Coturnix japonica: one gene and its partner. The protein of the gene in region 1 binds, or shares a complex with, the protein of each later gene. Links are inferred from orthologs where the notes say so. Each region holds a gene or a part of one and is shown on either strand. Other genes may lie near its edges. The genes, in order: NCF2 and RAC2.

Region 1 (3,721 bases):
AGGTTGGATGAAACATTGGCAGCATTGCAAACATGTGCAGCCTGGTGCAGCCGTGTCCTGCACCATCCAGCTGAGTGTTCAGAACCAGTGGGGGGAAAGGAGGAGAGAAACAAAGGAGCAGAGTTTAGGCCCCCCTATGAGGTAGAACAGTAGCATCACCCCCTGCTCCTGACATGATGCTGGCTTCCATTCCCAGGGCTCTTGAAGGGCAGCCACACCGTGTCCTGTATGAGTTCATCCCTGAAACTGCTGAGGAGCTGCAGGTCCTGCCAGGAAACATCGTCTTTGTCCTGAAGAAAGAGAAGGACAACTGGGCTACGGTGATGTTCAATGGGAAGGTAGGGGGTCTGCCTGGCACAAAAGGGAGATTTACAGAGGCCTGGAAGGAGTTTCTGAACCCAGTTTCCTTGCATCCCCTATTTGAGGGGCTATGAGCTGGTAGAGGCAACCTCCTGGTGTCCTGCTCCTGTTGCTCCTACCAGGCAGGGGCCAGATGTGCTGCTTTGTTTGCCTGACCACATGTGCTCAAGGCAATAAAGTGAGCTGGTTCACCCTTGCTGCCCATCTTGGGGTGCCATACAGAAATCATTCCTTCAATCTCCTGGACGGTCGACTAACACCATCTGTTCCCTTTGTCTCTTCCCTGCAGAAAGGGATCGTCCCCTGCAACTTCCTTGAGCCCATGGAGCTCCAGCACAAGCTGCACGTCCAGGTAAGGAGCCCAGGAGGAGCTGGTGGCCCCAGGAAACCACATAGATCACCCAGCAGGATCCATGCCTGCAAATCTCTCTTACAATGCTGTGGGACTCCTGGCTCATGGCTATCTCATGGCTACTGCCCTGTTCCACCCCAAATCAATGGACAGCAGGCAAAGCTTAGCCCCAGGACTCCTGCCTTGAGTAGCAGGACGGGGTCCCCAAGGCAGCAGCACCCCTGGGCTGTGCCTGCTCCCCTTAGGGATGCTGACTGCCTGCACTGTCCTTTTCACACTGGCACAGGAGGAGGCCCCTCCCGAGCCCGACATCCCTGAGCCACCCAGCAGCACCGCTCCAAGGCCCCGGCGGCCAGCACCAGGTCAGTGTATGGAGGGGAGGGATGGGGGAACTGCAGGGACAGTCTCTTGTGTACTGTGATATGGAGAACCAGGGCTGGGGGCCATCTCTGCCTCTTTTATAGCGTGGGTTTAAATCAGGAGGCAATGCTGCAGCTGCAGCACCGAGGATGGAACAACAACAAAGCTCGAGGTCCCCTTTTTGCTCTTAATTAGGGCAGCAGCTAATGGGAAAAAGGGCCTGGGGAAAACAACAGGGCAAGTGACCCAGCTTGCATAAGTCCCAGAGCACAACATGCATTACAGGCTTCTCCATACAGCAGGGCAGCTGGGAGCTACGACTGCGCTGGGAAGATGTGCTGCTGGTGCTTCTCAGCACCTGGGGTAGGGCTGGGGCCAGAAGCAACTATATGACAGAGGGCAAGATACATTGTTGTTTGTGCTTTTTGTGCTTGCAAATGCATCAGTAACATCAAAGCCCACAGAGGAACAGCATCGCACCTAAAGCTCCAATCCCTACAAACACTGAACAGGCCCTACATTGTGAGCACAGTGACCACCTGAAACAACAGCAGGCAAGGCAGAGCCCTGGCCTCTTTGTGGTTACTGAGGAACCCCACAGAAGAACCTCACTGTAGCTGATACTGATCTGTTTGGGCAACCACAGCCGGCTCCAGGGCTGGGTGGTGCTACAGATAACAGCAGGTGTTGAAGAGAAGGGCTGAGAGGATCTGGAATCACATTTATGCCCACAGCAGTAAAGCTTACACTGTGCTCCACTTGTTGACCCATCTTTTCCTTCCTCCTCAGATTTCATTCCTGTTACATCAGCGCAGCAGAGAGAAGCCAATAAGGTAAGACCTTGTGCTGCAGTGAAAAGGTAGAGCCCAGATCCACATCACATACAGCTTGGGAGAGAAGCCTGATGCCCCAATTCACCACCTGCAGGAAACCGAACCGGCTGTCCCCAAGCCCTATATTGTCAAGGTGCATTACAAATACACGGTTGCCATGCAAGTCAAACCAGACCTGTCCTACAAGGAGCTCCTGGGCCTCATTTGTGACAAGCTGGAGCTGCAACCTGAGCACACAATGCTGAGGTGAGAACTGTCTGCTGCAGGAGTCAAGTTTTCGTGGCTCTCCCCTTACCTGTGTCCTCTGGTGCCCAGGTACAAGTCTGCAGTCAGCAAAGAGCTGGTGACTCTGAGCATGCAGAACCTGGAGGCAGCTTGGAGCCACAGCAAGGATCAGTGCCTGACAGTGTGGTGTGACTGCACAGAGGTGGGTGGCAGCACCAGCCACCAGCTCTTCTACTGGTGCCGGCAAGGGGCTCAATGGCAGAGGATGAAGCCTAAGCAGAGCTTATCTGCCATGATCTGGAACAAAGCAGAAGCCGCATGGTGACTTCACCAGCTTCTTTCCTGCCCTAGGGAGAGGGATTTTTACCTGACAGCAAACCAGAGGAGCCACAGAAGGCAACAGCAGAGACAGGACCAAGCCAAGTGGTAGCACAGTACAGTTATGAGGCCACCCAACCCGAAGACCTGGAGTTTCAGGCAGGAGATGTGATACTTGTTTTATCCAAAGGTAATGGTGCTCCTGCCACTGTGGGAGAGGGGAGGCTATTGTCATGGTTTTGTAATGTTACATTGCTATTTTCCTGCAGATGATCTTAACGTTCTGATCTGAGGCCTGCCTGCAGCACAAGAGGGTAATGGTGCTCCTGCACATCCCTAGGGTGACAAAAATGGCATCAATTTTATCTTGCAGTGAACGAAGACTGGTTGGAAGGGCAATGCAATGGAAAGATCGGCATCTTCCCCTCTGCTTTTGTTCGAGATGGTAACACTAAAGACCCAGAAATGTGATTTCAGAAGAGTTTAAGGAGACTGAAAGAAATTAAGAATTCAAGTGCTGCAAATAAGAAGTTCCCATGTTAATTACTGCATCTGAAAACAGACCTAAAAGTGCAAAAGCAGGAAAATAAAACATCTTTGCAATTTATTTCATTTTCTTTCAAATTGGAAAATAAAATAAAACTTTAAACCTTCTTTCAATTTTCTCCAGAAAAATAATGTAATAATGTGTTTTTCAAAGCCCGCAGCTCAGTTACATGGGGGGAAATAAACGTAACCACACAGACCTGGATGAAGAGAACATGGTTTAATTAAAGGCAAAGCTGATTTCAGCAGCTGCAGTTCTTGCACAGACAGACAAATAACACAAAAAAAGCTTACGACACAAACCAGTTTCTGTTGGGGTCCCTTCCCTCGCTCCCCCAGGCACCGGAGGGCAGGATGGGGGTCCCAGCCCAGAGCCGGCCGTGTTCCTGACACCGGGTTCTCATGCACAAGTGGAGCGGTGCGCTGGGACCTGGCACTGCCAGGAGTGAGGTGGTGAACCTGGGTCAGCTCGCTGAGGGTGCAAGAGTCAGCGGCAGTTCAAACACTGGAATGTCGCAGCTGCCGGGGTGCACAGCTCAATACACAAACTGAGGGGGCTGGGATAGGGGTGGGGAAAGGGGGGTAGGGGAGGGGGGGGCTGAGTCAATATTAGCATTGGGTGGAAACTTCACTTTTTGGACTTTTTAAAAGGAAATACATATTCGAAATGCAACAAAAAACGGTGGTGTTGCTAAGGTGGAGAACGTAGGGGAGCTGCTCACACCCT
Region 2 (3,154 bases), on another chromosome or scaffold:
ATGTGTGTGTTTATGATATGCTAATTTATGTGTGTGTTTATGATATGCTAATTTATGTGTGTGTTTATGATGGCATCTAGAGAGAGGCAGAAGACAGAGGCTTGAGTTGTTTATGTTCCCTCAAGGAGCACAACTCCTTCCTGAGCCTCCTGAAGTGGGTTTTGCCCCATGACCCCTGTTCTTCAGATATACTTCTAAGGAAGCCTCATAAGGTTGAGTGGAAGCCCTTATCTTCTGCCTCTCTTTTTTCAGTGATGCCTGCAAGTACCTACCGATTTCCTTGGCCAAGGCAAGACCCTGAGGATATGTAATAGGAGTCAGCTTCTTCTCCTTCAGCTTCTCAATGGTGTCTTTGTCATCACGAAGATCCAGCTTTGTGCCCACTAAAATGATGGGAGTGCTGGGGCAATGGTGCCGCACCTCGGGGAACCACTAAGGAGGGAGCAAAATTGCAGAGACAAGAGAGAACATGCATGGGTGAAATAAAGGGGCACCCTTAAAAAACGTTAACAGGACACTTTGTTCTTCCATGATGCCCTTCTGTTGAGTGTTGGGCACTACAGCCTGGCTCAGACTAGCCCCTTTTCCTGGGTCTAAAAACATGGAACTCAAAGCACAGGTTGAATTCCTCAGGAACTCAGACAACAGTGCAGGGGAATAGTGAGAAGTGAAAGGAGAGACAGTGCTAAATACAATCTACTAAGGAAAGCATAAGCAATTCTCCGTCCCTCACAGCTTTCTGAAACCCAGGGAGGAACCTGGGAGTTGTAGGAAGGAAACACTACATTTTTCTCCAACTCTCCTTCCTTCCTCACTTCCTATACAAAGGATGTGGACACCAGCTCTTCATATCCTATGGACAGTACTGGATGAAAGGTGCCATCAGAACGTAAGCCTGTGGTCTCACACAGAGTAGCCCATCAAGGAGAATAATAACTCTTCAGTGGGGTTGGCCACCTTCTTTGAGGTGACCCAGAAAAGCAGGCTGACATCCAATTTCTTCTAACATATGCAGAAAACAATATTACCCCTCTAGCTCTGGACATCCCCTTAGTAGTCTCCATCCACAGTCAACTCTTTGCAAGACCAACACCAAACTCACTCTCCTCACCCACTATTGGACAAAGATGCTCTGTCTCACCTTAGCACGGACGTTTTCATAAGATGCTGGGCTGACAAGGGAGAAGCAGATCAGGAAGACATCCTGTAGGCATGCAACCATGGTACATAGTTAGAATGAATATACGGGAGGCAGGGAGGGGTGAGCAGAACTGGGTGGGCACCAAAATGGGTCATGCTGGGGAAAGCTGTCTCTCACCATCTGACACTGTTCAGACTGCTGTTGATTGCCTCTAGGGGAGGGAAGAATATTTAGTCTCCTGACTCATGGTAACCATAGCCACCACTATCAGAAGAGACAAGCGTTTAGCTATGAGGATAGGGTTTTTGTGGTAAGCATATTCATTCGTATGGGAAACAGTCTGATAGTGTCCAGTTCATTTCTCAAAGAATACCATATAGTTGTCATTGCCTGCTGTTGAGACAAAATGACATTCAACCCCAAAAGTGTACATGTAGGAGGCAAAAGAGGCAGAGTATGGATAAGCACTTCTGGGCATGGCAGAATTTAGGCTTCAATTGAAAATAAAAAAAAGCCAAAGCAGCTTATCAGAGTTATATTTATTTCATCCAAATTCAGCTATCTCAATCAGGAGTGCCAGGCCCATTCTGCCCTCTGCCACTGTACTACAGCCACCAGAGACAAGCACCTCAGAAGAGTGTTACCCACCTAGACTTGGCACATGTCCTACGCTAGCTACCAGTATGCTGTTGAGAAATAGGCGTGCTTGCACTGTCTGCAGAAGGAGTTCAGGCAGGCAGCATACATAAAGTATCTAACTCTCATGCAGCTAAACATAGCGGGAACAAACAGTGCCTCAATTCCAGCCCTTTTGGTTGCAATGGCAACCTTCAAACCAATGCTTGAGGCAGCAGATTCTTTCGGTGCTTTCCAAGAGACTTCTAAGAAAAATACCCTCCAGGGAAGGTGGGGAGGATCACCCATTTGTTCTGCTAGAATACTGGACTTAGCTGAGGCATCAGCAGATCAAATACATGTTTATAAATCTTGACTCTTTTAAAGGTCAGAAGCCAGAATAGGAGTTTACAGGAATGTGGAAAGCTCCTGCCTCTGCTCCTAAATTCCTTCATCCACTTTAACTTCTTAAGAAGGGCTTCTGTTTCTCAGGGTTGTATAAAGCAGCTATCCCACATTAAAACCAGCGTCAGCTGGACTCATAAGTGTCTTTGAGGATCCCAGTTTCCTTGCTTCTCAGTAATGAAGTGTAGATGAGGGCTTCAAAACACCCTTTGATATCTTTAACCTTTAGGATTTCCAGGTATTGTATATCAACATAGGGATTCTCAGAAGAGGGCAAAGAAAGAAGGGAACAATCCTATCATTGCTGTCTGGCAAAAGTTGATTTTGCAGCAGGGAAAGGAAATACATCTGAAGGAGAACCAGAGTAGGAGCGTGGAGTATGACCCACCGTCTGTGGGTAAGAGAGTGGCCTCAGCCTGTCGTAATCCTCTTGTCCAGCAGTATCCCAAAGCCCCAGATTTACAGGCTTGCTGTCAACCATCACATTGGCAGAATAGTTATCAAACCTGAAATGCAGAGACATATTCTGAGGCTCAAAAAGTAGAAGAGGGATGAGGCAAAATTTTTTACTCTGCACATCTCATGACAAGAGGCAGATTCTTTTCTGTTGTTTCTGGTGTATTTTTTCATGTTTCATAAGGGAAACCAGTGACAGGAAGGAAGCAATGAAAAGACTTTTTGAACTTGCTCATGACACACGCTGCCATTGTGAGATAAGCCTTACTGCAAGGAGCACAAAATGGCCTCCTTTCATCATCTCCAACCACAAGTCTCAGGCATGAGGAGAAATGTTGTGCAGTCCACAAACACATGGCCATTTCACAGCCACTCCCAAGGAGGTGAGTAGATGGAGTAGACTCCATCTGCTACTTGTAAACTTGGCAGGCATGTAGACCCTTGGGTTAATTAATGTTTTCCAAGTGTTCCATTTATACTTTGGTTTTCTAAGTGCTTTTGGTGAAAGGTGAATGACAATCTGAAGTCATGTTGGTT

Evidence for each region.
Region 2: NCF2 (region 1) and RAC2 share a complex: the UniProt entries of both Homo sapiens proteins name them as parts of the phagocyte NADPH oxidase complex. The link is inferred for Coturnix japonica from reciprocal best matches to the Homo sapiens genes NCF2 and RAC2.

Annotation. Positions count from the first base shown.
Region 1 is NC_029523.1:4,321,319-4,325,039, forward strand, and holds the end of NCF2 (neutrophil cytosol factor 2), read left to right. Parts: intron 1-196; coding exon 197-338; intron 339-649; coding exon 650-712; intron 713-998; coding exon 999-1,074; intron 1,075-1,861; coding exon 1,862-1,905; intron 1,906-1,999; coding exon 2,000-2,151; intron 2,152-2,220; coding exon 2,221-2,332; intron 2,333-2,481; coding exon 2,482-2,638; intron 2,639-2,717; coding exon of another isoform or gene 2,718-2,740; exon of another isoform or gene 2,741-2,821; coding exon 2,822-2,919; 3' UTR 2,920-3,102; downstream 3,103-3,721. UniProt on the Homo sapiens protein: Subunit of the phagocyte NADPH oxidase complex that mediates the transfer of electrons from cytosolic NADPH to O2 to produce the superoxide anion (O2(-)).
Region 2 is NC_029516.1:46,924,396-46,927,549, reverse strand, and holds part of RAC2 (ras-related C3 botulinum toxin substrate 2), read right to left. Parts: intron 2,668-3,154; coding exon 2,550-2,667; intron 1,205-2,549; coding exon 1,142-1,204; intron 433-1,141; coding exon 273-432; coding exon of another isoform or gene 269-272; intron 1-268. UniProt on the Homo sapiens protein: Plasma membrane-associated small GTPase which cycles between an active GTP-bound and inactive GDP-bound state.